2 linked regions of the Drosophila melanogaster genome follow. The protein of the gene in region 1 interacts with the protein of each later gene in a pairwise test. Each region holds a gene or a part of one and is shown in the gene's direction. Other genes may lie near its edges.

Region 1 (13,935 bases):
GACAATAGATAGCCGTCCCTTGCCCGCGGGCTCATTGAACAATGCGCTGCATCAAAGCGCCAAAACAACGCGATATTGCAGGAATAGAAATATAGAAAGGGAAAAATCCAATTGCACGTTGATGGAGCAGCCAAGGGTACAGGAAACTCAGCTCATAACCAACCCATTGTGGATTTTAGCTCAGCGAAATAACACTCGCACGTTCGGAGATCTGGCCTTGGAGTCGAGTTTTCAGCTTGGACAATGCAATTGCTGTCGTAGAGCCGAAACTCATACAGCCCATGGGAGCTAGGATGGGACGAACACTGCTGAGAGGAGTGAGCCGAATAGCTATCAGTTTTTCAACAATTATTTTCATTTTTCATTCTCGCATATGTTGCGTATACGCAACCGAGAAGAAGGCCCATATTGTATCTACACCTTTCGCGGCAACTGCTTTTAAAAGCAGAATAAGACTTGAAAAGGACTCAAGAATTCTCGGCTAAAATCGTACACAGCCATCTCTCTCTCTCTGTCGGAACACATTTTCATGTTCCCTTCGTTTCGCTTTGAATCTGTCAATAATTTTAATTAGCAATTTTCTCGGCCAGACCGTAACAGCTACGTCGTTTTGACAAATTAATTTCCGTTTCTTTTTTAATTATCTAACGGTTGGTTGAGCTTGGTCCTGAGTCGAAAAGCGATCCATTTTGCGTTGTGCAGGAAGGGTCTGATTGGCCTTCTCCAAGCGTAAGAAATAGGAAACGGAAAATGCTCGTTATAGCCATCCTATTACGTGTAGGCTTTCTTGTAGCCTGAGATATATACACAAATGTCACACCGATAAATACAGTTCTAAAGTGAAGACATGCTTTTAATATGTAAAAGTTCATATTTGAGTTCTCATTCTCTAGTTTCTGCTTTGTCAAGCAAAGCGATTATACGATTTATTCTAGGCAAGGATGATCTCATCATGTTGTTTATCATTATCAATACTCAAGCAGAGTGTCAACCAAAATTCCTACATCCAGACGGACTGCTCGTTTTCAGGGGATAATATGCCTCTTAATACGTTATAGTACATTCTTAACCATTTTTAAAACCAACATATAGGCAATACGTATTCTGTTAATGCAAAATATCTGGCACTTATCCGTAGAGCGATTTAAAGGCATTAACGCAAAATATCCAAGGTAGCATAAATTATTAAATTTATAAATGCAATTCGAATCATTTTATGTAATTAGTTGCAAAGGCTATGGAGCCATTGTTCATAATGTGTTGTCATATCAAGAGTGACGGGTTCAAATACCTCATCCCAATTATTTAATTGTACGTCATTTTTCTCACTCTTTTTTCTCCGATTTTTCATGGTATGCTGAAAAATCTACTGCGACAATTTCAAGCTCATTAAAAATTTTCAACTGAAATATTCCGCCGGAAGCCGAGTCTCTGTGTGTATTCACCCTTAACGGAGCACGTCTGCCATTTGTGCTTACTTGTTGGTACACAGTGCTCCTGGTAAGTACGACTACATTCGGGTCTAAAAAAAGGTATCCTTGACGAACCACGCTCGTTTGAAAGGTTGAGTTTTTACTTCATTTAGGATTGACAGCAATAAATACTTTTAGCAGCCACTGTTGGCAACCACATGGTATGCCATGTTTCGTATTTTAGTTTTCCTCATTTCCTGAATTAAACTACACACGGATATATTTAATTAGATGACATACCTGTATTATTATTTATTTTTTTTTAGACCTCGTTAACTTAAGCCCCCAGCCCACAATATCTGTTCCCTTTGCAATATGATTTATGTTCAAGTCACATTCTTGCAGGTGAAAATTAAGCTGTAACATTTATATGCGGTGTGCTTAATAATATTCGCGACAGGTCGTCGGGACATTGACTGAAGCCAGGTGGAGAACGAAATATACAAGAAGAAAGGAATTTCGAGACCGCGTTTCTGAAGGAATAAAAAATTGTTTAATAAATAAATAAACCAGATTTTCTTTAAAAGGTGGCACCGTCTATTCACCACTAATTCCCAGACTTATATCCACCGTACTAGTGTGACTACTATTTCTCGTCCTCGTGCCACATCATTAGCGCTTTTATTGCCATACTGTGTGCCTGTGTGTTTCCTATATTGTCGGATCGAACGATATATCAATGACACACACAAGAGTTCCGTAAAAATATATATATGTATGGTCCATCTCTGGAGAGTTAACAGTTAAATTTTCTACGAACAAGTTTCTTTGGACTATTGCCTTATCGGATTGTATTCACTTTTTGTCACATAATACTCACAATCGGTAGCAATCTTAGTTGGTTGACTTTTTGACTGCGCTTTATTTCACTCCTTTGTTAACATGAATCGATTTTTATTGGAGATGCTGAAGGATTCGCTCCATTTACCTCCAATGCCTTCACATCCACCACTAAAACACTCCGGAAAATGCCGTCGTTTTCATTTGGCAGGCAACTTAATTCATTTGATGCATTATTTAAATTGCAGTACCCGCACAAATCACACAAAGCTCTCAACACATTTTATTCGTTGGTGTAAGTCAAAAACCTCTAAGCGATTGGATTCAAGGTTACGTATAATGGTTTATTTCAAAACGATTTTAGGGTATAAATAAATGTTAAAGCTTTAAAGTTTTAAAAAATAAATATACAGGACTTTAAGACGTTGGACGTCTTGCACACAATATATGGAATGCAAACTTTTAAAATATTTTATAATTTCAAGCAGTATTTGAATTGTTATTTAATAACTCTTAACTTGAGTGTAGTGAAATTGCTTTTATTTTATTTTACATATTCAAAATGTTAATCGCAGTGTTGGGACCCATAAAAATGTCAGTTAAATACAATAATTCAATGCAAGTTCTTGTTTATATAAATCCAACTTTCTTTGCGTTCGCATCGGTCGCGAAATGGAACTACACACCAAAATATTTATTTTAATTATAATAAATCCAAATATTTTCATATGTGAATCAAAGCAAATGAAGCTTTTGCTAACAATTCCAGACGACTATTGTGAAACATATTGTGGTGGCATCTGTAATGATACAGTCGCTTCAAAGACTTGCGACAGAGAAGCTTATGATTATATTGCCACCAATGAATACCATTTAATTATGAGAGACGGACATTTAGAGGTTAACTGGAAAATTCCCGATCCAAACATTTTCATCATAAGTCCGATCAGCAAAGAAAACCGTTTGAAATTGAATGAGCTAATTGTATCCGATACAAGTTACCCAATACGTGCAGTGGATTATCTTCGGCAACTTGGTGTGGAGACAGTAACACGTTTCGAAAATCAAATAAATTCATTTAAAGTAATTGAAAGAGATGTCCATTATATCAATGGACCTAAGTCTCTTAAAATAATTATTCAAAGTAACCTTTACCTCAATGAAATAATCGAATATATAAATAAGACAACGGATAATGTGAATGAAATTATTATCAACGCATATAAAACGGTTGAAAACCAGCAAATTGCGCTAGACAACCTTATTTTTAATGGGAAGTCGCATTTAAGATCACTTACATTTATTGGATTTCAAATTGAAAACTTATCCACGAAACCATTTGCTCAGTTTATTAATCTCAAAAGGATGGTTCTTACCAATTGCACGGTTCGGAATTTGACATTTTTAAGGTTTGTAAAATTGATTAAAATTATAGCTTCCTATACATTGCTCTCTCATTAAGTTGTTTGCAATTCAGTATAAATAATTAATTTTCTATTACTAACTCTATTTAGAACTCTTCAAAAGAGCCTTGAACATTTGGAGCTGGATATCGACAACGAGGTGGATTTAAAATACTTTACAAACTTTTCCAGTCTCAAATTTATGAAGGTTAGGAACTACATTCCCAACAAGAACTTCACAGCTTTAATATGCACACACAAAAATTGTAATTTTATCCGTGGAATCAATGGGTTAGAATGCCCTAAACTTTGCCAATGTCTCTATATAATTGATGACTTGGAATTAAACATAGACTGCAGCAATCTGGGTCTTTTGCAAATTCCGCCCCTACCAATTCCAAGTTATGGCGGTGTGAAGTTGAATTTTTCCAATAATTCTCTCTCTCAGTTGCCAACTATGACTTTACCTGGATATAAATTGGTTAAAAGACTTGATGTTTCGCGGAATAGGTTAACCAACTTAAGTATCAATCACCTTCCAGCGAAACTGGACTATCTTGATGTAAGCTTCAACGAAATAATTAATATGGGAAACGATGTAATCAAATACTTAAGAACTGTCCCCATCTTTAAGCAAACAGGCAATCAATGGACTATTCATTGTGATGACAAGCCGTTATTAAATTTCTTTAGACATCTCAAATTGATAATACGGATGAAAAGTGCTGAAATGAAACCTATGTTCTTGCACTCGTTAACCGAATTACCTAAGGGGTTTTTGAAGTTTTTGGGAAAGCACTTCATTTGGCTAGGTGTGAGAAAACAAGAATACTATTTGATCAATGAGGAACAGTTGTTGCAAAGTATGCATCGCAAACTAAACAACCTTAATACAATTATGAGCATCTATAAGTATATGGAATGGCTTCACCGAAAACTAATATTCGTCAATCGGGAGTATGATCTATTTTATATTCGTCAAATGGCAGCCCCCTGTCCTCATAAGTGCGAGTGTTGTTATAGCCGCGATTCACTTATTTTAAAAATAGACTGCAGGAATAAATTTGTATATAACTTTCCCGATATCGTTGCTAGAAATAGTCGTCTTATGTGAAAACAAAATATGTCTAGTCCTATGGAACTGCATTTATCTAAAAATAATATATCAAACATAACCATCGCAATGCTACCAAAGGAACTAAGGTTTCTTGATCTACGTTTCAATAATCTCGTTACCCTGGATGACAAAGTCCTGAGTTACCTTAAGAAAAATTCAATTAAAACTAAACTTTCTGGGAATCCCTGGAATTGCGACTGTAAGTCGAGATCAGTCCTTTCCATTTTGAGAGATCACGAACCCCTTGAGTATGACGTCACGTTGAAACGTTGCAATATATCTCCAACGGATTGTCCAGATGTTTGTGTCTGCTGCTTGGATAACTTGACATGGCCATCATTTATTGTCGATTGCAGAGGAGAAGGACTTCTACAGATGCCTTCACTTTCAAGCAGGGTTACCTATGTGGACCTAAGGAATAACAACCTTACGGCCCTGTCACAGAAGAATCGTTCTTCTATCGAGAACAGATCGTTAAAGCTGCATTTGCTTGACAATCCCTGGTCTTGTTCTTGCAACGATATAGAAAAGATAAATTTCATGAAGAGTGTGTCTTCAAGTATAGTAGACTTCACTGAGATAAAGTGCAGTAATGGTGAGAAGCTAGTCTCGATTAATCAGCATATTGTGTGTCCATCTGACCTCTTTTATTATTTGGCACTCGCGATCTCCCTAGTGGCCACGATCATTGCCTTAAACTTTTTGATATGGTTCAGACAACCGGTCCTGGTCTGGTTCTATGAGCACGGTGTGTGTCTCAGTCTGTCAGCCAAGCGGGAACTTGATAAGGACAAAAGGTTCGATGCCTTTCTGGCGTTTACCCATAAGGACGAGGCTCTGCTGGAGGAGTTCGTGGATAGGCTGGAACGTGGTAGGCCCAGGTTCCAACTCTGCTTCTACCTGCGAGACTGGCTGGCGGGCGAATCTATTCCCGATTGCATTGGTCAATCTATAAAGGACTCGCGGCGCATTATTGTCCTCATGACAGAGAACTTTATGAATTCCACTTGGGGTCGCCTCGAGTTCCGACTGGCCCTCCACGCCACCTCACGCGATCGGTGCAAGCGTCTGATAGTGGTGCTCTATCCAAACGTGAAGAACTTCGACAGTCTGGATAGCGAGCTAAGGACCTACATGGCATTTAACACCTATCTGGAGAGAAGCCATCCGAACTTTTGGAACAAGCTGATTTACTCGATGCCGCTACTACCAAGCTACGTTGACTAGGACATTACATTATTAATTTCAATAAGAAACAAAAATATATAATTTGTTGTCTCCCACACAGTTTATTTTTTGAGATTTACATAGTTCCCGGAAGTATTCCGACAGGTTTCCGGGTCAACTGGTTTAGCAGCAAGGACCGCAACCGCAAAAACTGCTGGTGCCGCCGCAGCAAGGTCCACATCCTCCGCAAGGACCACAGCAGGGGCCACACCCACCACAGCAGGGGCCACATCCACCACAGGGTCCGCATCCGCCGCAGGGGCCACAGCAGGGGCCCTGATAAATCATATTAAAAGTATTCACTCGACTTACGAGACCGATAAATACATACCCCAACCAAAACGTAATTCGGGTTGACGTACATGTACATGATTTTGTTTCTTAAAAGATATTTCCCAACCGGAATCGAAAGGAACCGAAAATTTAGGTGTTAACTATTGAAGGTGGAACGGAGAACTGACTGAATGTGATCCAAATTAGCCGAAGCTTCATTTGACAGCAGTCATGAGAATTTCAAGGCTAATATGATCCGACAAATTATATTCATTATTATTATTATATTCTGGTATCCCAAAACCCATAATCTAGTTAGCTATGGATATTTTCGACAGTTGTCAAATTCATATACCAACTTGTGAGTCAGGTTTCCATCATTCTTATTTTGGTTCTCGGCCTGTAATCATCGAAATATTTTTTCGTCCTAAGTTATTTCTTTGTTAGGTTCAAAGTGAGTATTTCTCAAAGTGTAAGCATGCGAAGTTTTAACAAAATTTTTCTTAGAACTTTACGGAACCATCATGTGTTGCGGACCCCTTGGATTCTGCGGACCCTGTAGCCCGTGCGGCGGTCCTTGCGGACCTTGCGGACCCTGTGGTCCTTGCGGTTCCTGCTGTAGTCCTTGTGGATCTTGCTGTGCGCCTTGCGGCCCTTGCGGTCCTTGCGGTCCTTGCTGCGGGGGCTGTGGTCCATGCGGGCCTTGTGGACCTTGCTGTGGACCTTGTAGGCCATATTGCGGGTGCTGAACAACAACCACAACATGTAAAATATCTTTTTCCTGTGAACCACAAAGTGGAACTTAGGACTGAATGCGGATAAACTCTTCTTAGCTCGCGGGCCTAGTCAATAAAATAAGAATTTCAAAATACCTTTTCCGATGGTTTTTCTCTTCTAAATGGTGCAACCTTTGTCTTAGCTATGGATACCAAATGCGTGACAATAATAATTTATGTAATATAATTGCGAAAATTAAAATTGTCAATTCTTGGTGGATTGCGATCGTTAGAGGGGGCGGAGGAACATCCTACGTTCATATCGACTAGGCTTGTGATCCAGCTCAAGAATAAATAACCTTTTCTTCTATTCACTATAGCATAGCTATTACTCTACGAGTGGCGGGTATAAAACCTGCAACCGTGAATTTAAACCTCATTCAATAATAGTATTTGTCTGCAAACGGACAAATGTCCGATAACAATAATTCTATAACAATAATAACTATTTTTAACCATCAACCGCTGTACATAAACATAATTCGAATTCATAGTAGGCTATGGAAATCGTTCTTGACCTGTCAGACCCACCTAACCTTGTAAGTTCGGAAAATATATCATTCTCATCTCGACCCTTGTGCTGCTCGCATCAAAATTTTGTTGTTTTGTCCCAAATACTTGTTTTTTTTTTTTGGCTTCTAAAGACCGTTGGTAAAAATGTTTATTGTAAAGTTAAAATAGTATACATATTTATTTCGTTTATTTTAGACTTCTCGAATTAATCATGTGCTGTGGACCTTGTGGATCGTGCTGCGGATATTACTGCTGTGGTCCCTGCTGTGGACCTTGTGGACCCCGATGTGGGCCGTGCGGATCCTGCTGTGGACCCTGTGGACCCTGTGGACCTTGTTGCGGACCATTTGGCAGTTGTTGCGGTGGCTGTTGGTGCTAAATGCTCGCAATTGGCAGCCGAATCGATTTGTGAAACCATACCACAATCCCACCATGGTTAAACTAACACCTGAAAGTTAAAAGCCACAAATATATATATATGTATCTTAATGCAGATCCATGTTATCATTGGGATAGTTCACCATTGCTCTTACTCGGCGTTACTCGTTGACATAATAGGAATGCGTTTCGTAATATGTATGTGGGTGTAGGTTTCTTGATCAGGAACACTAGCCGGATACTAAGCGAGCAGATTGTATTGCGCTGCGAGCACAAGTTGCTATATGGAAATGGTTGAGACGTTCTTGGTAATACCATTTTATTTTACACGAATGACGTCTCAAGGTGATTGATTCTGCCTTCCGACGAGCTTCACTAGGACGTTCTTTGTTGTTCCCATCTGGATCAGTTGTACTGCTTGCTACGGCAGGACATTTTCTTAAGCACGTTATTGTAAAATTCACTAAAGAACAAAATTAAATTCCTTTTAGGGCATTGATATAAAATTTTTATTAATTTTGCATTTGTTTATTTTAAATCTAGAAGGCTTTGAATCTATATTCTACTTTCCTGTGCAAGTTCTATGTAAGCAAACATCAGTTTTCATCTTTCCCTTAACCCAAGAACATCAAAATTTGAGCTCTTTTCCAAGCTTTTTAGGTTCAGCACTTTGTACGTAGTTTTTTATTTAAGAAAATTGTTGGTATAATAGCTTTTCTTTTAGTTCTCAGAAATTAAAAAAAAACATGGGCTGTGCACCGGGCGGACCTTGCTGCGGACCCTGTGGACCGTGTTGCGGACCCTGTTGTGGACCCTGTTGTGGACCCTGTTGTGGACCCTGTTGTGGACCTTGCGGGCCCTGCTGTGGCCCCTGTGGACCTCGTTGTGGCCCTTGCGGACCCTGTGGACCGTGCTGTGGCACTATGGAAAAACGAAATGGCCTTCAGCGGTGCTGTCCTTTTTAGCTGTGATTTCCCGAATAAGCAACCAAACTGTGTCCAAAAAAAGATTTCATTAGTCTATTGTGACAAATAAAGGGGAACTATGAAAACTATCAAATTAATGGATCTTAGCAGGGAGCCAATGTAATCATTGCAATTTCATTCATTCACACTCCGTACAAGAACTATAAAGATTACTGCTTTTCCTCTGCTACCTTTGCTTCACAAGCCGATGACGAATGACAAGCCAATCCAAAAAGGCAGTAGCTGAAGAGAGAAGCAATCTCCATAGGACAATCACCATAGGACAATAGACCAGGCTAACACTGAAGCCTGCGGCAATACATTCACACACGTAATAGTTGCATTGGGCTTAAAAGGAGCAGTTGGTTTATGCCAACATGCTCAGGTAATTGGGACGATGCAGTTGGAAAATAAAAAGTAATCCTGCCCTTGCAGCAATTAAATTAGCCAAATAGGGGATGTTAATTAGTGTCAAGTACCTTGAAGTAAATGGTGCCAAAAGAGGCGTGGCCGAGGCCAATCAAAATGATTTCCAAGCAATGTTACTCATACGCCCCATGTAGCTGGTCCCAGTCAATTATTAATGGCTGCTCGGCGCGAGTGCAGACTGCTGACATCTCAATTCAGGCGAATTGTTTATAGTATGCAAGCAATAGGATGCCAGAGGAATATCTGGGGAACTGATTTTCATCATTCATTTCGCCAGTCGACTTTTCCACTTTCCACGCTGAATAATGAAGGCAGCCATTTTAAGTGTGCGCCTGCGAGGCACTGGCTCTCCCGATGACGCAGTTAAGGGAATTCTCGGATATGTAAGCTTCTAGCATTTAGGCCTCATACAAATGTATAGCGCATCCTGTTATATGAGTAGCAGACGAGCAGGATAATCAAGTTCCGGAAGGGGTCGAATTAGAGCTGCCTGCCAGAATCGCAGTCGAAACGCTTAATCAGTGCTATATGCAAGTGTAATCCTAGAACTCGCATATGCCGCAGCCGACTATTGCTGTACTCAGGGAATTCGGGGTCAATCCCTGCAGAAATGTTCGTACCAATTCAGAATATATGTAGAAGTTAAAAATCTGCGGTTTTGATACTTTAATACTTTCTCAATATACTAGAGCACTATATAAGTCCTAACTCCTCATACAGATATATATATTTTGGATCATGTGAAAAGTTTGTAAAGTTTAAATATAAAGTTGAGAAATATTTTGTAAATGCCTTGAAATAACACTTTGAAATATATTTTCTAATCTCAGTTAGCCAGTTTAGTGGACAGTTGAATTGTCCCACCCAAAATTTTTTGTTTCCATCAGCTGTGTAAGGCCCGGTCATCGGACTTCGATCACCAGAAATTTCCGCGGCTATGAGCGAAGAAATCAGAACAAATCCTCCGAGAATGTGGAGCAGGTCTAGTCCGTCCCGCGTCGTAGAAGCCGCGATGATTGGGGATGGTCCGCATGTGTTACTACCACGTCAAAACAACCCAAATCAGCCAATTTCGACGGCAGCAAATCAACGTCCCCGAACATCAACGTCCCGACGATTGAAGTTTCTGAGAAAAATGGCGTTCAGCAACAAAATAAGGAGCTTTGGAGGACCTGCATCCAGGTTTGGTTCCCTTTCGCACTCGGATTTCGGAATGAGACGAGAACTGCGAGGCGATTTCCATTGGCCGATGATAGAGAGCTGGCTTGAGTTTCCCACCTATAATAATGAGGTAGACGAGGATAGTGGTGAGCTCCACGAAAGTAGATTGTTCACAGATCGACGCCACTGGGGACGGGCTCAACTGTACTTCCAGCAGTATCTAGGGATCCAGCACCGCCATCACCACGATCCGAGATCATTCTCCCTGAAACTCGGTCTAAGCCCCGCACACATAAAGTCCATTTACGACGCGCTGTATGGCATGGGTCTCAAAGAGACCTTGAGGCTGGCCTTCAACGAGTTGCTACACTTGCACTAGCTTTGGGGACTTTTTTGTTCCAACTATCGGTAATAAAATTTAAGGCTAACTTTTTATTCTTAATGTGGCAACTTGCTCCTGAATTGTTCCCACTGGAAAACCCTTTAAAAAATAGCACTCAGCCGCCGGCAAGTTTTTTAGCCAAGATATTTGGCCAAGAAAATCGCGATGTTGTGCATTTATGGAAATCGTATGCCGCTGTGTGTTCGCCAGTACAATGCGAGTGTTTGCAGGGCTTGAGGTAACTTTGCGACAAAAACTAAACGAAACGAGTGGAATTTTAAATACCCTTATTTACATCCCATATGACTTAGCACTTTCTTTCACAATATGCCCTTGTTTTGAATTTCTCTGGGGAAATGATGTATAATATCCCCGTCTGACTGGGCTGGTATCCACATATGCCGCAACTCTTGCACAGCGCTCCCGAAATAACAAGCAATGAACAGCGCGCCCAGCACGCATGTATGTGAATCCCGCACTTATACACGCACACTCTCCACCTTCACACACTCGCACCCACAAACACATGCACAAAAGACGCTCTGCGTTCATTTTGCGCCTTATCTGCGGTCGCAAGTGTTGCGCCATCGCAGCCCGAGTGCCTGAAATTATGCTAATTCCTTCGTTTTTATGCAGCCAACATGGAGCAGCAGCGGGAATCTGCATTCTCATGGCCGAATCTCCTCCAGCTCCTCCAGCTGCTGCGTGTTGGTTGTTGGTTGTCGGTCGCCGGTTGTTGCTTGTTGGCTCTTGCTGCTCCGGCTGCGCATTTTGCGGTCGAGGCACTGGCAAAACGGACACCGAATTCTAGGTAATATCACCCGCATATCGATACGATACTAGGATTAATTATGAATGAAGTAGTTTTAACCTTAAAAACACCTTTTCATTATTCTTGAAATATAATATATTTCACTAATTAAAGTGGCCTAATTTGTATGTAAAACTCTTCCTGTACGGTATGCAAGTTTTTTTTTACAGTGCATGGGTAGTACGATGAATTTTACGGCATAGAAGGGACGGCCTGCTGATAACGCAACATTAATAACACCCTCATGGCTGGCTTTCTCTACTTGATGATTGAAAATCCTGAAAACTGCGCCCGCGCCGCAAAGTATGCAGCATTCATTTACTTATCAGCCGTGGCGAGGGAGTTGGCTCCTGCGGAGTCCACGCTCTGTCCCGTATTTGTGGCACATTTGGGAGCTAAGCAGACAAAAAGTTCCCGAAAACAGAGTCAAGCAGCTGCTGCCTCTTCGCCAGTGCCATTGCTACAGCCATTGGTAACGCCATTGGTCTTGTTGTGGCCAGTGTTAACATAAAACTTGTGCAGCGATAAACTCTTGGCCCGCCCAGCACATTGTCCATTCGAACATTTGTTAGCCTGCCTCTCCGCTCTGGGCCAGCTTCTGGCCGTTTTTGAATCCTGCTGCATATTCAACGGCTCTTAGCTCGCCCAGCATTTGGAAATTCCTCTTAACAAGGTTCTCCAGCGGCTACTAACGGAATGCCCCATTTTTTTTACAGATTTAATTGACCCTGTAATCGAGGTATCTTTCTGTCGATACACTAGCTATTTTCTTCGATTATTCCGTGAGTGCTGTACTTGAAATAAACATACATCTCGGTGATGCTTACCGGAGGCAAACATCTCTTCGTTTTTCTAAACAATTGTTTGATGTTCAACCTGCCCGTTTAAGGCATCGAATTTGCTAACTTCATAAATGTAGCAATTCATTCGGTTTTTTACTTTCGCTTCTGTTGCTCAAAATTATATTTCCACTGAATAAAATTCTTTTCGGAACTCTTAACAACGTTTCAACACTCTTATCGAGGACCACCGGGTGATGGGTTAATGAATTCCAACCGTAATTACCCATCCAAGGGGAGTGATTACCCCAAAGAGGCCCGACTCAGCCGATTCGTTATGAGCGCCGACCAAGGGATCCTTTTAATTATTGTTCACAACTGGCGGATGCAACTTTATCTTGTTTATATTATGCATGTTTTTTTCGCCTTCGCTCGACCATTTAAATATTTCAGCTGCGGTAAAGTTTCGATTGTGTTTGCAGTTTTTTCGCTGAATATTTACCCAATTTATTTTGCCCCGGCTATTGGTCTTTGTTTTCAATTCCCGTGCTGTATTTCGATTGCATATTTAATTGAATGAGCTCTTCCTGCCCGTTATACCCAATTAGCTGAAGTGTAAAGAATTGTTTTTAAGCATCTCTAAGGCTGGTAGATGGGCCATCGATCCAGTAAGGAAAACATTAAGATAGATTATGTTAAGATAGCTTACAACAAAATTTCAAGACAAACAGTTAATCAGTTAAATATATTTCTATATTGAAATGAAATGTTATGTAAGCTACTAGCTAGAAGTGGAACTTGTAATTTTTCGGACCTCATGCCTAAAGTTGATAACCTTTGCGGGGGCAGACGAGTTTCCAATCCCCACCCCTATTTGAATGCGTCAACGTCTGTGTCTGCTCCGCTTGTCAAGCATTTTACGCATGAGAAAGTATTTTCAGTGAACAAGTGCGAGGGTTGAGCCGAGCTCTGCAAAAAAGTATCCCCAATGCAGAAATGCACAAGGAAGCCCCATAAAAATAAATCGAATTGAGGCGACGGGAGCTGGGACTGGAAGGGAGCGGGATTGGGATCGGGATCGGGACTGTCGGGATAACAAACGATGCTCCATGCCAACAGAGTGGGCGGAGTACGGCGGGAAACGCAAGTTGGGTTTGTTTATGGCGCGATACGAATGACACGTGACTGGGAGACACCAGACAAGCACCGGCACCGGCGGCACCAGACGCTCGCAAAAATTATGAAATTTAGCGCAAGCCGCAGAGCTCGAGTTGCAGAAAAAATACATGCACATGGGTCTCGCGCACACAGGGACAGATCCAGTTCTATGACAGCTTTACCGTATCACACCTGCCGCACTCACACACCCGCAAGGGGGAAGGTAAGGCACAAACTGACGGCCAATGCGCTTAGCACTTTCATTTCGTTTGCTGCAAATTGCTTAACCACAATGCATATGTATGCAAAGC
Region 2 (17,734 bases), on another chromosome or scaffold:
CTCCTCCTCGCTCCATCTAACTCGTTCCTTCTTCTCTTTCTATTGATGCCCCACTACGGAGTCATTCACTCGACGCCACTGCCACCACTACAACGCTCTGCTGGCGTCGCCTAGAGATGGCAACGTGAGCCAGGTGGGCGACACGCGTGTGAATAGCTTTGGCTTTGCCAAAAACAATACGAAGTCTAGTACTAAGCAATAATATTTATAATTGTCGTACTTGTCGTATATTCAAAATAATAAATGAGTTAGATTCATATGTAGAAGTTTTAAACTAGGTAACAAGTAGTCATTATAACGCAGGTGCCAAAGAGATTGATCTTTAAATGGTTCTCTATTTTCTATCTGAAGTGTACCATTACACAAATTAGTGTTTAGTTTCGATATCCTTACACTTTGTTATATTGCGTGATATTCGCTGCCCCTATTAACAAAGTAGATTACTGCTCCCACCATCTCGAGTTGAGGTAAAAGGTAACCGTAAATCGATTACACAATGACCAAGCTCACGATCGTGAGTGTGTGTGCGAGGGAGCACGACCTACGCATCTCTGATGGAGAGCGAGGGAGATGGCCTGCCGAAGAAGGGGCGATGGAGGAGAAAAATGAGAAAGGGGGTTGGGATGTGGTGGATGCCGATGCCAGGGGGAGGAGAAGGAGGAATGCGATTAACCAAAGCCGGGATAACGATAACGATCACTCGGCGATCGCAGGCGTAACCCACATCCTTACACCTTAAATTAGGTCAGCCAGTCTAAATGTGTTTTTACCGGAGGAGCCGTAATTGTCTTGAATTCGAGTGCAAAACATTCAATTTCTATTTGAATAAGAGCGCAAACACATACGCACACTCGCGCACATGGACATGCACACACACATTCGCACACACGCGGCTCGGTGTAGTTGCCAGATACCCCCACTTCGGACAGGTATAACGTTGAGCGGAAATTAAAATATATCTATTAAGTTTCACAAATTTTGTCTTAAGTAAAAACAACACAAAATTCGTATTAAACGAGCGGTGTGTGATTTATCGTTGATCTGGCAACCCTGCTCCGACGTGTTGGAATGGTACGGGTGGCTGCGGGGGACGAGTCGGCCTATTGTGTTTGATGGCAATCCACAAAGCTCACACACACGTTTAAACCAAAACGATATAGGGCCGAGCACTTCAAGTAATCGAGTTTTTTCCGTCTAATTAATCTCGGCGCAGCGATGTTTTGGCCAACAAAATGACACGGCTCTTTGTCGGAATTCACTTATGCAGCAGCGGCAGGGTTGTCAGAGCTCGAAAAACGGTGAAGAAATAAACACACTTTTTCTAGTTGTTTCGCATAAATGGGGGGCGGCAAAGGGGTGCAGGGCCTTTGATTGGTGGTCATTTTTCATTTGGATGACCTTAATTTGCATGTGATAATGCTGATTAGTGCAGCCGCGTTATCGGCACGGTAATCGTTATCGCCAGAGTTGCAAGCGCCCGCCCATCGACAGCCCGCCAAAGCTTTCGAATTTGAAAATGTGTGGACATATTTTAAAAGTGCGATTCTAAGGATCGCATGGTTAATATTTTAGATCTAAATTTTCTATCTCAAAAAAAAAAAAAATGGTACAACATTCATACACAACTACACCGGCAGCATCTTCGAGTGAGAGTTTCCGGCCAAAAAAAAAAAAAAAAAGAATAACTAAAACAAAAACGCACTCACAAGAAGAGGAATGTTTCTCCTCCACCCAATACTCGCAATAATTTTCGATTAGCTTCTATATGCCGCGCCACGATTTTTTATTCTGTTATATTTTTACTTTGTGCCAACAGAAATTTATCACCACCGCGCGAGAGAGCGAGAACACACACGCACACACACAGCCAGAGTGCGCTCTCTTTCGCTCTGCCGCCGAGGTGCATAGGCGAGAACGACCGACAGACGCGACTAGCGGTCGGACCGACCGACCGAACGACCGTCGCTATCGCCGTCCCCCTCTCGCTCGTAGGTTTGTATCGGGGAGTTGTTGCTTACACGCACTCGCACACATACTTTTGCACACTGGCGCCTCGTCACTGTTGTTGCATTGCTGTCGTCCACTCCTGCGCTTCTTCTTCTCTTGTTCGACTCGCTTCTCTTCGGATTTTACTTTGCTGCCGAGCAATAACAACACAACACTACCGTTCTCAAAGTTCGAATGATTTGATGCCGTTCTGTGTTTTTTTGGTGTGGCCGAGAAGCGCCAAATCAGTGGGGCCGTATCGCGGCGATTCGGAAAAGCCGAGCGAAGGGGTCACGATAAATGGATTTGTGGTTGAATTAACTGAGTTTGTAATAATTGATGTCAAATATTTACTTACCTTGTTAGGGGATTTATATGTATGCTGCACATTTAATCTTGAATGCCATTAGTTCATTAGTTTGGTATAATCCATAACATTCACTTAAAATGTTATATCGTTAATCTTTGATCCAAATAAACAGAATCACAACTACAGTATTCCCTCCAATGCTAATAAGTTTATAAGTTTCAGTTACTATTATCCATAAGGTACCATAAACACGATTGCAGCACTTTGGGTGGTGATTAGTACTACTATTACGTTTAAAATAAACTACGCAGGGTTTGACATGCAAGTTGTAAACATTTGACTCGGAGTTCAAGATAACGCTATAAAATTACTTAATCAGGGTCCACTGTACTCTATCGATAGCGATAACTGACCACCTACACAGACATTTATTGTTATCGACCAACGAACACATGTTCACTCCGATTTGGCGCGTAAACAAGTAAATAAATAGTATTATTAAGAATAATGCCGGAGAGCCTGATCGCCGGCATTCCGGTGCACTTTCCGTTCGAGCCGTACCCGGTTCAACGGGCGTACATGGAGAAGGTGATCCATTGTCTCCGCGATGGCACGAATGGAGTCCTGGAATCGCCAACCGGCACGGGCAAGACCCTAAGCTTGCTGTGCTCATCCTTGGCCTGGATCCGCACCAGGCAATCGGAGCACCAAAAGCAGATGGTTAAGATGGAGAAGGCAGATTTTTCGGGTCTTGGAGGCGGAGCACCTGGGGGAGACCTGTCCGAGCTGGCCAAGACCATGGGTCGTGCGAATAACTGGGGCGTGCCCAAGGTCATCTACGCCTCGCGCACCCACTCCCAATTGACGCAGGCGATGCGGGAACTCAAGAGGACAGCGTACGCTAACATGAGATCCGTGGTTCTGGGCTCCCGCGATCAGCTATGCATTCATCCGGAGGTCATGCGGGAGCAGGGCAACTCCAACAAGACCAACATGTGCAAGCTACGGGTGCACTCCAAGACCTGTTCATTTCAAATGCGCGTTGAGTCGCGAAAGGATCATCCCGATTTGCGCGGACCCACCATCATGGACATTGAGGACCTGGTCAAGGTGGGCCAGCGACTCAAGATCTGTCCCTACTTCGCGTCTCGGGAGTTGGTTCCCCAGGCGGATATCACCTTCATGCCCTACAATTATCTACTCGATCCCAAGGCTCGCAAGGCCAACAAAATCGAACTGGGCAACACTATTGTGATCCTGGATGAGGCCCACAACATCGAGAAGATCTGCGAGGAGTCCGCTTCGGTGCAGATTAAGTCCTCTGATGTGGCCATGGCCATCGAGGACGTCACGCATATCATGCAAGTCTTTGCGAGCGGCGAGTCGCAGGATATGGCTGGAGATGAGCCAAAGGACTTCACACTGGACGACCTTACACTGCTCAAGGAGATGCTGCTCGAGCTCGAAAAGGCCATCGATGCCATCGTTGTGGACAACGCCGTCGATGGAACTACCTTTCCCGCCTCCATGATGTACGAACTGCTTGGCAAGGCGAATGTAAGATGCACTAAATCTTATCGGAAATGTTTTTAAAAGAATGCCTATTTAAAAATGTAACTTCCTTTATTGTAGTTCACCTACGGCAACGTTGCAACGATAGTATCCCTGCTGGACAAACTGGTGCAATACCTCCTAGTGGCCTCCCAGCAGATGAGCATCCGCAAGGGCGGCACCTTCACGTTGCTTAGCGATCTACTGACCATTGTGTTTGCCAACAAGGAGGATGTGATGAGCAAGGTGTACGCAAGCTTCAAAGTGCATGTCCTGGTGGAGGAGTCCAAGCAGGGACACGGTAAGCAGCAGGGTGCTAAACAGCAGGGCGGTTGGCTTGGCAAGGGAACGATTGCAGCAGCGACTGGCTTAAGCAAGGTCGCAAAAATCATTAACTTCTGGTGCTTCAATCCTGGCTTCGGAATGGAGCAACTGCTCAACACCCAAGTGCGCAGCGTAATCCTGACCAGCGGCACACTAGCTCCCCTCAAGCCGCTAATCGCCGAGCTTGCCATTCCGGTGGCCCAGCATCTGGAGAATCCGCACATCGTCGACCAGTCGCAGGTTTATGTCAAGATCATCGGCACCGGACCCGATCGGCAGCAACTGATATCGAACTATGCGAACCGGTAAGCATTTTTCACACCACAAGCTTATTTGTTTATGGCCAATACCATGAGTAAATAAACAAGTTGGGCCAAACATAACTCAGTTCTGTGGCAGGTGAACTATCTCATAACATTACGAAATGCCAACGTATCAATTTCTTAATGTTATACAAACTAAACAAACATGTTTTATCTGCCACCTTTGTTCTTCTGCAGTGATAATCCAAAGTACATCAGCTCCCTGGGACAGACGATTCTGAATGTAGCGCGTATAGTGCCCGACGGCCTCCTTGTCTTTTTCCCATCGTATCCCATGTTGAACAAGTGCGTGGACGCGTGGCAGGCCAGTGGTTTGTGGGCGGACATATCGTGCAAGAAACCGATTTTTCTGGAGCCGCGCAGCAAGGACCAGTTCACCAGCACGATGGAAGAGTTCTACCAGGCGATACGCGACTCCAAGGGTGCCGTATTCATGGCTGTTTGTCGCGGCAAAGTCTCCGAAGGTCTGGACTTTGCTGATCGCAATGGCCGCGCGGTGATTATTACTGGTCTGCCATTCCCACCGCTAAAGGATCCCAAGGTGATACTGAAACGTCGCTACCTGGAGGCGAATCGGACTCGTGAGAATCAGCTGTTAAGTGGGCAGGAATGGTACAATCTAGATGCCACGAGGGCAGTCAATCAAGCCATCGGTCGTGTGATTCGGCATCGCAACGATTATGGTGCCATTCTGCTTTGCGACTCGCGATTTAAGGACGCCTCACAGGTCCAGCAGCTATCCAAATGGATTCGGGGTCACCTGGGCGACCGGCCACAGTGCTCACCCTTTGGTCCTATCGTCCGGGAACTGCGTCAGTTCTTTAAGAACGCCGAAGCGAATGTAAGCTCATGATGTTTATGCGTTTTTCAGCAATTGTAATACAATTCTTTCAAAACTTCAGATGAAACTACCGGATGAAAGGGAAACCGATTCGCCTTTGGAAACCGTCTGCAAGACAGAGGATGAACCACTAGCCGCCATTCCAAAAGTGAAACGGGAGCCTGGCTCCAATGCCACCTTCAAATCAGCCAATGAATCCGCAATGTACGTAACCTGCGATCTAAGATCAACCTTATCAGCTGTATAGATTGTATTACAATTATTAATAGCAAATCCTTAATCGGATTTAAGTAGTCTTGAGTACAATTTTTGAGATTTGTCATAGCTAAAGTGAAATGCTGTAAGCCATTTCCAGTGGCCTTTTGTCATCACTGCCAGGGTAAATAAACTTTCGTTTGCCTTTCTCCTGGTATTGACACTTTGAAATATTTATTATTTTTCTTTGTAGCAAAGTGGAGATGGCCAATTCCATCAAGACATGGACACCCGCCGATTATGCGAGTGCCGCTGGACATAAATTGGGTGGTGCGGCGCCGAATGCCATGGACTTTATGAGTCGACTGGACTCAAATGTCTCGGTAAACACGAGATTCCCATGAATCTATTATTACACTGTGTTTATTTAGTTCTTTAGGACTTGTTCTTGTTTTGCCCCTTTCCCAGAGTATCGATTTCAACTGCTGCACAGATAGTAAAAGTGGCTCCTCTGGTCTGGTGAAGATTCACAAGCGGGAGCGAAGCTCACCAACGGCGCCGGAATCCTCCAGCCAGGTGACCAAAAAGCGATACAAGTTGGTGGAGAACATCAAGGTGGAGCCAAGTAGTTCGCAGGCTAAGGAGGCACCCGAGGAAAGGGCCGCGTTTCTCCGGGAGGTGAGATACCTTCGAGACTTCTTCCATACTACTACTACTACTACTAATTAATTTACCTTGAATTGCAGCTACGCAGCCTGGTCACCCAAGATCAATTCCGCCGCTTTGGCAAGGCGCTGCTGGAGTACAAGAATGGCACCTATGAGAGCTTTCAGGCCCTGATGGCCATACTCCTGGATGTCCTGTCCGCACCCAAAGTGCGCTACATGCTCGTCGGGATGCGGAAGTATCTAAAGAACGAGCACAAGGACGAGTTTGATCGTAGGGTGGGCAATCTTTAACAAAGGGTTAGGTGACTATGTAAAAGAGTTTTCAAGTTTAGTCGTCCCAAGGATATGTTATTTTTTTTTTTTCAAATTTATTGACATTGGCTGTAATTTTCTGATTGTATTTAGTGGGGCGCGTCTAATTCTCCTAAGAATATATATTATTAACAATGCTATGCATTGTTGTACATGCATTTTGAATTTCTCTGTACGGATGTTTATTACTATTAAAAATTATACGTTAATCATGATATTGTTTATAGCTTTGTGGGAAAATGTGGGGTCATATTAAATGCAAATGCAGTTACTCAAAACCGTTTGCATTATGTGCATTATGTTTTCCCAATCTGTTTATTTATTTACCGCTCAAGGTTGACTTAAATCAACAGTCTACCTTTATTGGAAATTTAATACCACTTTTATGTGCATCAAACTTCGATTTCGTTTGCTGATAAGCTGATGAGCTTTAATAAGCTTTCAATCAAATCAAAGGCGAATAGAACAGGGTGCTCGAAAACTCTTCAAATCTTACATATCGTATTTAAATATGAACTCAATTTGTATAATAATATATATATATGTACAATATATGTTTATTTTATATATTTTTAAGCATGATAAATAGATAAGATATCATAGGAAATTGACTAATGCTAAGACTTTTAAGTTCTTGTCTTAAAAACATAAAATTACTTTTTTGTAGACTGCTTACATATATGTTTTTCACATTTATTTTTTAATCTACCGCTTGGGGGGCATACATTTTAGAGTTGGCAGCCCGCTTGGTAACAAATCTGCGAACCGCAGCCAGCGCAGAACGCATCCAATAAGTTCATTGCCAAACGGGCCGAGTCCCTATATGCACATCCACACATGCCCATCGGCTGGCGCGACCGAGTCACCGAGAAAACTGAGCCCGAGTGCAACGAGAATGCGGGTCCGAGTGGCTCCGACTTCGGACTTGGGAAGGCACTCGCGTGGCAACAATCGTCCAGGGCGCACGGCAAACACGCAGAGCTGCCGGAGGAGATAGGCCGCTGCTTCTTGGGGGCCACATTCGTACCCCGATCCAAATCCAGACCCGCTGATCCATCCGCCTCATAAATACACACATAATTTCTGCCGCTTTGATTGGGGCACGCAGTAAGTTGATTGCAATTGCAATTGCCATAGCCTTTGACTTGCTGCACGTTCGCTCTTCGCTGCTCGCTATTTGCAACAAGTAATAATGAGGGCGGGCAGGGGGTGGCTGGGTGTTTGGCCAACGCAGCGACCTTGGCCTGGTTTAGGCACTTGCCTTAAATGCATTTTGTCGTCATTGCAGCGCACATGGTGGAGGAGATTGGCTGCCAGAGACAGACGGGCATTGTGGTCGCCATGCCCAGCCAGGTGGCATCCAACACCGGAACTCCAGCCCCATCCGCCGGCGGCATTCACCAGCAGCATCAGCAGCAGCAACACCAGCAGCACCAGCAGCAGCAACACCAGCAGCAGCAGCACCAGCAACACCAGCAGCAACAGCAGCAGCAACACCAACATCAGCAGCAGCAACAGCAACACCTTCAGCAGCAGCAACACCACCAGCTGCAGCAGCAACAGCAGCAGCAGCAGCATCAACAACTCGCCAGCAACATGAGCCTGCTGACCGTCAAAGGCGGCCGTTACCTTTGGACCGACCGGGAGCTGTTGATGCACCTCCAGAACTACACTCCCCTGATCCTTCTCATCGATTTCGTGGAGAAGACCCGAACCAAGCGCTTCTATGAGAGCTCCGAGCGCTATGAGATACTCATGCTGGTCTTCATCATGCGCAAGGGAGCGCCGTTTTGTGAGAACAAGCGCTTTCCAGCGGAGTACTGGGTTAATCTATCGGTGGGACCAATTGCCGAGGCGTTTGACCGTCTGCAGGCGGCCATCGATATACCGGATCCCCAGCTGCCGATCCACATGAGCGTTACAGATTTGACCAGCTGGAAGCAAATGTTCGACCTGGCCATGCTGGATATACGGCGTTTTGCGTACTACACCGATCCCTTGCAGCTGGCCGATGCGGGCGTCTTTAACCGGATCACCTTTGAGCAGCGATTCGGAATGCAGTGGCAGGAGTAATGGGAATTGATGCACGTTACTGGATATATATTCACGGGAAACAGCATGTAAGCACACCATCAGCACCAACACACTTTCCCAAATTGGGATGGATCGTGGGGAAGGCTACTGCATAAATCCGAACGAAAGCATTTAGTTAAGTATTAATAGGACGCACTAGAGCGCAACCGATCCATCCAATCCCACATAGACAGAGTTATTTGTTGCGTTAATGTCCCTGCATAGCGAAATCTACTGTGCCTTCTCCAAAAACTCCAGATCCTTCTGCATTCCTTTCCCTCCAATCCGTCAACTTCATCTCTCCTCCGACTCCTCAAATGTATCTGTAATACAAGCGACGTGTAGGACCCAAAATGCTTTAATGGAAATAAACGTTAGTTACTGTTCAAACGCCTGCCTATTTATCTTTGTAAAATAGCGATAAATCATTCACAACACGCATTACTCACTATAAAAATAGCACTATGTACACTATGAAACTACACCTATGTTCCTAATGCGAATTCAACGAGATCCTCGACAGTCCCATTCTTAGGGATCGGATCATCCAGCCTCATGGCTGCCGCTTAGGAGCGCGATCCCGGTCAAAGATGCCCAGCAGTTTCCCACGAGTCATCTCCATTGCCTCACGCAGTCCCAGCTGGTAAATTTCATCATGCATTGACTTTATTTTATCGATCAGATCCTCGGGAGGGAGCTGGGCTAGTTCTGGAATAGAAAAGTAGGTAATGGATATGCTATTCTTTAATATACTATTCTTAAATCTCATTGACTTTGCAGCTACTTACCATTAATCTTAACCATATCATCATCGGTCAGATTGCTGGTGTAGTTGGTGCTGCGCGTGTACATCGGCGTGTCGCTCATGGAGAGGAACTCGTCCATTCCGGGAACTGGAGCAATCGAAAATAAAGATATGCGTTAAAAATGGCGCCAATTTCTTCGTGCTCACGTTTTCTACACTTACAACGCTCTGGCCATTGGACAGGTGAGGGTCGCAGAGTTTCCATGGAGATGAGCTCGTCTTCCGGCGTTATGGGCCGCTCCTTGACCTCCGGGACATCCTTTTCGGCCAATAACGTACTACTGCTGGACGCTGAAGCCTTCTCCACTTCCTCGTCCGCCGCTTTTAGAATGGTTTCTGCAAGAAAACCTCGTTTTATGGCGCCTTTCATGTGATTTAAATATTTACTCACCTGTAGAAAGCAAATCCGTAGTTGTCTCTGCGTTGCTCATCGCGGATAATGTTGAAAAACTCCAAAAACTATTGAAAATAAACACGGAAAGATGCCAAAAAATCCGTGGGCTAATCACTTGCCACCTCGTTAAACAAAAACTATAGCGTTGCCACTTTCAACAATCACTATCGAATACTATCGATTTACCGCCAAGCCAGTGCTAGAAAGCACCAGGAAGTATAAAACAACTGATATTTTTGGTAAACAAAGAACTGTTGTTATTGCTTTTCCTGGTTTTATTAATAGAAGTTAAAAATAAATGGCACAACAATTAGGAAATGAGCGTGCCTCGACTTATACTAAATTCAGAGTGGAGAGCAGGCGTCGTAGCAGAGAAACGCGAACCTCTCCGCGACCTCTATCGTGCTCTCTTTTCCACTCACGGTCGTTTAACGGCGCATAGAGACAACTCTGCGCTAGGTCGCCTGCTCTCGTTCGCTCTGGCGCGCAAACGGCACTTGGCACACTTCGCACAGTGGCGCCAAAAAATATGTGCCCGTAAAAAGCACATGTGCTGCGCAGTAGTTGTCCAGAACAACACAACACGGATGTCTAACCAGTTATTGAAATAAACTTATTCAAGAACATCTTAATAATAATATAAAATCTTAAGGAATAACAATATCTTATCAAGTTTTTATCAATTGGCGCCGCCGCCTGGTAGCACTGTTCGCATACGCAGACTTTTGGCCACCACTGTTTTCCCATGCGCCCTCGCACTTTCTTTCGGTTTTTCATTCGCTGCTCCGCTCTCACTCAGTCAACAAGCACTCATACACACGCGCTCACCTGTTCCGCCGCCCCGCTACCCCGTCTCTCGACATTACTGCGACCGCTCCCGTTCCGTTTCATTATTTTTTTTGTCGCTGTCATTCAGTTGCCGTTTTAACTTCGCCGCGCGAGAAGCGGAAACTTTTGCCAGTCCGCTCGAGGAAAATAGAAAAATACTGCAGTGCTGCTGCAGTCGTGCAGCTCGTACATTTCGTTTCGTTTCGTTTGGCGCCAATTTCAAAGCGCAAATCCGCTGGCGGATTGAATTGCACCAAAGTTGTTCTTGGATCTCTACGTTTGCATCCATCCATCTAACCAAGCAACCGGCTACCACCCCTCCACTCCTGACAGTGACCCCTCGCTGACCCTCCATCCCCCCCTCCGCTCGACGACTCTCATGGCAGCTAGCAAATTCCATTGCGGCAAGCAATTGACAGCCACACATTCACATTTCGATGCGACATGTGCGAAAATCAGGGCCTTTTACTTTGACCTGGACAACACGTTGATTCCCACCAGAGCCGGCGATTCCAAGGCGATCAGAAAGGTGAGCTTTGTTAACCAAGCCAAGGCAGACAGCCTCACTGCCCCCTCTGCCAATCACCAATCCGTTGGCGTTTCTTCCGTTTCTTTTCCATGTAGTGTTTGTGGGGGGGCGGGGCGGGGGAGGTGAAAGTGCGCAGCAGGCGGGCGACCCAGCTAGAAAATTTTCCACTGCAGCCCGCCCGTTGTTACGTAGTCGAAAAAACCCGGACGCTCGGCAGATAGCACGCGCCCGAAATTTCGATTGTTTATTTGCGTTCCGATTGATTTCCTTTCCCTTCCCTTCACATCCCCCAGCCACAAAAAAAAAAAAAACAAAAAAGAAAAACTCAGAGTGCACTCGACAAGGTCTTAACTTAAATATAACCACGGGTACATGCACTTTAGAAGGCTAAAACCCACTAAATAATCGGCATTACGTTGGAAATTCGGAATCTTCGGTTTTCGAAATGTTAAAAGGCACTTTACAGGATCTTATCGTGGTGCGCATTATCGATTGCAAACGATTGCAAAAAGGTCGGAAATCGAGGAACTTGCACTTAACAAAAGTTGAACGAAACGTCATACCAACAAACTTTGGAAACCCGCGTCAATGGTTTCTTTTGAAATATAACCTTCTTATAAAGTGAATGGCACACAAAGAAGCTAAAGGTTAATTGATGATAATAGGTAGCACTTCGCAATATGTACTTGTTTGAACGTTCAGAGGCCATTGACTTTATTTATTACAATAAATGAGTCTATTTGCGATCTTAAAAGGTTAAAGTTTTTAGAATTTTCCCTTCAAGAGAGAAAGGTATAAATAGGTATTCTTGAAAATGTGTTCAATGTCACGTACATTTACTCACTCTTGCATTCCAGATTATATCGTTATCTTTTAAGCTGCGCCAATTTAGATAGTTAACTTCATTATCACGTTCATGTTTCAATACGCTCAATGTTTGAAGACCCCAAATAAGACGGTTTCTTTATTCAGTTGCTTTCAATTCTTAGCGAGCGAAGCCACGCCCATTTATATTTCGGAACTCATGACAGTTTTTGTGACTAATCGCAATGATTTCAACTTAAATTCCTAGCATTCAAAATGACTTTTGTGAGCTTAGCTTCCTGATTTGAGTACGATTCAATAGATGCGGATGGTTGGGCCGGAAAATAGATAGCGAGTGGAAATTTCCAAGCTATCATTGCGATCATAAAATATAGTATATTCTCATATATTACTCATGCTGCAAGTGTACCGGCGGCAATTGCAGTTTGATGTTCAATCCCCTGATAGTACGGCGATGCTATAACAATTTTGGAATTAATCAATTGGCTTCGGATTCGATCGAATGATTGGATTGGTCAATCTGACGCTTAATTGAGAACTTTATGGACGTAATAGTTTTGATTTACGTTCTACCGCGTTTCGCAAAAGATTATGCACGTATTGAGGCTTCTAATCGCTTTTATTAATATTAACTCTACTTTCAGGTTGTTCACTTCTTATTGCGTGAAAGTTCTTAACTTATCTCGTCTTTAATTCGTCATAGCGTATTTATAGTTTTATCGCGGTTGAGGTTTTTACGGCACTATCACATCTACGCAATTTTGTATATTTTTGAATTTATGTAACGCAATAATAATGCGAATTGCCAACCCTTTTCCAATTTCGTTCTTAGCTCGCTGATTTTCTGGAGACCCAATACCAGTTCAGCAAAGATGACGCAACACAGGCCACCCAAAACTTTCTAAAGGCCTTCCGCCGCTGTCCCGATAACTCGCAAACATCGCTGGACTCGTGGCGCACTCACCTGTGGCGCGAATCCCTTCCAGCGCGCCACAAGCACCTGGCGGAACAGATCTATCCCAAGTGGCTGAAGTTGCGGTATCGCTACCTAGCCGTTCCGGCGGACTATGTCCAGCTGCTGCTGCGGATGCGCCAGGCAGGCTATGCCCTGGCCCTCATCACCAACGGACCGTCGAACGCTCAGTGGGAGAAGGTGGCTGAGCTGAATGTGCGCGGCTACTTTGACTGCGTGCTGGTCTCATCGGATCTGCCATGGGAGAAACCGCATCCGGAGATCTTCTATGCCGCCTGCAACTTTCTCAATGTCAAGCCGCAGGAGTGCGTCATGATCGGCGACAAACTGGAGACCGACATCAAGGTGAGTTGTGGCTACTCATAAATGTGCTCACTAGCAACTGATCTATTTCGCTTTTAGGGCGGTCACTTGGCCCAGCTGGGTCTCACATTCTGGACGCCACTAAGCAATAGCAGCGCGGCGGCACAATCGCTAGAGGATGTGGAGTACAAGCCGCACGTCAAGCTGGGCAGCCTGCTGGAGATGTACAAGTACTTTCCGCGCCTCAACTCAGTCGCTCTGCCCGAGATGCCGTCGGTTTCCAGAAGACGTGGCAGCCACATGAGTCCCATTAGCCAGGGCTCCGGCAGCGGAAGCAGCTCCAGCGCCATTTGTGTGCCGGGTGCTGGCCATGGATACCATCACCACCACCACCAGCAGCACCAGGAGCAGCAGCAGCAGCATCATCATCATCATCATCAGAGGCAGTGGCTTTATCGACGAGGCGTTTCACTGCCCGCCATGGATTGCTCCAATAGCGAGGCGGAGAACAGCTGCGACAGTTTTCTGTAGGCAGTGCGGAGGATGTGTTGAGTATCGAATGAATCGATACGAATGACGAGAGATTGTTGAAAAATGTACCTTCAGTTTACAAAACTATAGCTAAAGAGGATTGAGGATTGATGATCGTAGAACGGGAGTAATATTCACGGATGGATCACGAAGAAGGACAGCCAGGAGAATTGGAAACGAGTGCAGGAATTTAAAGTTCAACTATTAGCGGGAGGAGCCCGGAAGCACGGTGAATCTCGCTATCTGCCATTAAACTAAAATTAAGGCTAGCAAACAGCATCGGAGCACACAAACTACTACGGCCAACAAGTACATGGAACAAAAGAAAACAAATATGAAATCAGAGGACAGGAAGCAAAGCAAAGCAAAGCAACCAAATGTATTTTTCTAAGCGAATTTTCTGTCACATATTTTGTAAATTGATATAACACGCAACTGAAAGTACGTCAAGGTAAACGTAAAACGCGAACAATAAAACAATGAAAAAAGAAGCCCGTAAAAACGATACAGTAAAGCAGATCGAAACCACAACACGAACCTCTTACAGAACCTCTGATAAAAAAAAAAAAAAACAACACCACACACAAGAAATACAAAAGAAACGACACGAATAACCGAATCACAAGTACAAGTACGTGAATGTTAACTATTGTCTTAGTCGTAGCCTTTAGTCCGGGTATTGTAATCGCGGCCTCTCGCAGCTGTTGGCCCATCACACTGTTGGCAAATTGTTATTTGCAACCTGCACGAAAAACAACCTCCTCCTACCCATTTCCCCACCCGACCCCACGCCACGCCCCATTCCCGCCCACAAGCACCCTATGCGAAAAGCATCGTTGATGATTATTGATGGCTCACATGCCGGAGCACTGTTGTTGATCATGGAAATGGAAAATAAATGACACTACAAAACCGAAATCCAGCTGACTTTTTGTTTCCATACCAGATGGTGGTGGTGGTAGTGGGTCAAGCTCAGAGTTTTTCCAGAAGATGCAACCACCACTTGTTGTTTTCTCCCTCTAAACCGTGCTTTTATCCCACTTGGCGTTGAAATGAAAGCAATTTTGTTTTATGTTTTAATCATAGTAAAATAAGCTTGATTTGTTTTTATTAATTTGGGGGATGATCTTGTTGTTTATGGACTACAAATATGCTATACGGTAAAATGGTATATCGCTTGCAGAATCAGCAAATAAAAGTTATAAACAACACTGAATCTTGCGCAGATTAATGCTAACGTGAACTGGCTGTATAATTGTTTCTCCACACATATGCCATACATACACAGACGGTTATACATATACATATATATATATAATTATAATCAAAGTCACGTACACGTAAAAAACGGTTCGGTTACAAATGACACGTTTTTGGAAAATAATATTTAAAAAAAAAAAGGGAATCGAAAAACGAAACACTTTCACGCGATACCGAGACATTTTGAATATTCGGCTGGGCTGGCTGGCTAGCTAGGCTTGCACTTGGCTTTACTTAAGTTCGTTATTTGCGCATTACGCTTTATAGTTTCTTTTACAAAAGAGCACTTTTCAGACTACAAAATACCCTAAGAACCCTTGACTGGAAATGGATAGATAGATAATGGGACAAAATGAATAAGAAAACGTAACGTAACAATAACATGGAGTAGTTGTTTTGCAAAGGTTGCTGTCATCGTAGTATATTAGTTAATAGCAGATCTTGCCGCCGTCGTAGTATAGTAGTATTTATCGTTTTTGTAAAGCATTGTACAACATTGTTATCCGCTTAAGTGTTAAACCGATGGTTCGCCCATCCTACATCCTACGCCCATCTCTCCTCATCTCATCTCATCTCACTCCCGGGTTGGCCGTGTTAGTCGCTCTGGATTCCTCGTTGTCTAGTTGCGCGTCGCATTGGCCATGTATAACTCCATCTCCTCGATCTTTTTCCTGCGCTTCGTCAGCAGCGGGTTGTTCGACTTGTCCAGCGCCTTGATTTGCATCTGCAGAAAAGAAAATTCCAATTAGGAAAAGACCTTCTTTCAAGTTTTGAACTAATCAAAGCATTTCAGGCGCATTAACCTCCTGTTAGTTCTTATAATTAGTGACTTTCCAGTTCACGACTAGAACAAAAAGAGGGCTAGGAAGTAGGCGACTTGCTAATTGCTTAAGCATACTGAAATTGAAATTTATTTTTCCATTGTATAAACAAATTGACCGAAAAGATACTATGTACAGTATGTGGTGAGAAGCAAATGAGTAATGGTTATATAATAGAAGTGAAAACTTTGGACTCGCATTGAGATTTATCTTTTTGTTGCAATGCCAAGTTGCCACTGCGGGTGACTCACCTGATCGTAGTCTACGCGCATGGTGGCCAGTGAGCGCGTCATCTCCTCCTGCACTTCCGGCCAGGTTTCCTCGGCCTCCTTTAGCATGCGACCCGTGCAGAGCGGTGTCTGTGGAACAGCATTGTACTGGGCAATCCACTTGTTGCTAATGACGTCCTGGATGCGCAGACGCTTGCTGGGGTCCACGTTCAGCATGCCCTTGATCAGATCCTTTGCCGCCTGGCTCACATTCGTCCACTCCGGATCGGGAAAGTCATACTGGCCGGTGCGGATGCGATTTTTCATGCCGGGCGATATGGCTAGGCCGTGGTTGCTGTAGAACGGCGGGAATCCGCACATAATGATGTACATCACCACGCCCAGCGACCAGATGTCGCAGCTCTTGTCGTACTTCTCCGGGCCCAGAACCTCAGGAGCTGCAAAAGAAAAAACATGTCATTAAAATGGGAACTATCCAGAAGAATATCTTATAATATATTCAAAATGGAAAATGTACTAACTTTAAGGAATAAGTACACTGTATTTACCCAATGAGAACTGAATTCTAATTGTTAAAACCTTATTATGAATCCCCCGATATGTTCGCAACCTTTCTTTCCGTTCGATTGCAAATCGAGTCGATTGCACTTTGCAAACTCTCGAACAACTCTTTCGCAACGAGATTGAGAACAAGGCTGAATTGAATTACAGAAGTTATAGAGAAAGTTCGCTTAGTAGATTATGTAAGCGGGGCGGTACAAGCATAAAAAGTAATTTTACTATCAGCAAATGCCTGTCATGCGGCTTCCGGGCTAAAACAAAAACTCCTGACACAATTCCGTGTGGGTAAACAGACGATTTTAACAATTATAGAGCAATTTTTCGTGCCCAATGTGACAATTGACCTCAACTAGAAACTAGATGATGATTATCCCTACAAAAGGCACACTCACCCACGTAATAGGGAGTGTAGCAGGGCGTCTGCAGCGTGTAACTGGTGAATGTCTCCTTGGCGAAGCCAAAGTCCGTCAATTTAAGGGTCGCATTCGGCTGAGTGGTGGTGTACAGCAAGTTCTCCGGCTTGAGATCGCGATGCGCTATGTCGCGACTGTGCAGATAGTCTACGGCCGCGCAGATCTCGTGCATTATCTGGGCCGCCTCCCGCTCCGTAAAGGCACCGTCGGCCTTGTCCTGAATTCTCTGGAAGAGCTCGCCGCCCTCCATGCACTCCATGACCACCAGGAGGCACTTCCTGTCCTTAAACGTGTTCTCGTACACATCAATGATGTTCACAATGTACCGGCATCCGCTGACCCGCCAATGCAGGTCCACTTCGCGACGCGCCCTTTCACTGTCCAACAGCACCTTGAGGGCATAGTTCTGTTGGGTGCGGCGATGGGTGCACTGCACCACCTTCCCGTTGATCCCGTAGCCCAGAACCGTGTTCGAGGTCACGTAGTCGTCCGTCAGTGGGGTGGTCTTCGGTTGCCGTTGATTCTGCAGAGAAAGCATTCTGGAATCGGCTGATCTTTAACTGAAAAAAAGATAAATGGTCAATGGAGTTCGGTGATGAGTGGTCTTAATTTTATAAGTAATCTAGTCAGCTTTAAAGCCTTGACTTGATACCAAACTAACTTCGTTTTTGTGCAATT

What was found.
Region 2: the proteins of Mst84Dd (region 1) and CG15771 interact in a two-hybrid assay, tested with the Drosophila melanogaster proteins (2 studies listed by BioGRID).

What each region holds. Positions count from the first base shown.
Region 1 is NT_033777.3:7,358,367-7,372,301, reverse strand, and holds Mst84Dd (Male-specific RNA 84Dd), read left to right. Parts: upstream 1-8,528; 5' UTR 8,529-8,611; intron 8,612-8,663; 5' UTR 8,664-8,685; coding exon 8,686-8,904; 3' UTR 8,905-8,995; downstream 8,996-13,935. Other genes in the region: Mst84Da (Male-specific RNA 84Da), read right to left, coding at 6,123-6,275, 6,331-6,369; Mst84Db (Male-specific RNA 84Db), read left to right, coding at 6,797-7,021; Mst84Dc (Male-specific RNA 84Dc), read left to right, coding at 7,773-7,940; CG17944 (uncharacterized protein), read left to right, coding at 10,271-10,873.
Region 2 is NC_004354.4:5,745,066-5,762,799, forward strand, and holds CG15771 (uncharacterized protein), read left to right. Parts: upstream 1-10,508; 5' UTR 10,509-10,989; coding exon 10,990-11,139; exon of another isoform or gene 11,140-11,786; intron 11,787-12,796; coding exon 12,797-13,282; intron 13,283-13,339; coding exon 13,340-13,771; 3' UTR 13,772-14,686; downstream 14,687-17,734. Other genes in the region: Rtel1 (regulator of telomere elongation helicase 1), read left to right, coding at 2,804-3,853, 3,929-4,476, 4,672-5,335, 5,397-5,539, 5,784-5,913, 5,999-6,208, 6,277-6,489; CG15772 (uncharacterized protein), read left to right, coding at 7,804-8,583; lin-52, read right to left, coding at 9,137-9,291, 9,372-9,476, 9,551-9,724, 9,780-9,819; MAPk-Ak2 (MAP kinase activated protein-kinase-2), read right to left, coding at 15,651-15,755, 16,104-16,519, 17,036-17,594.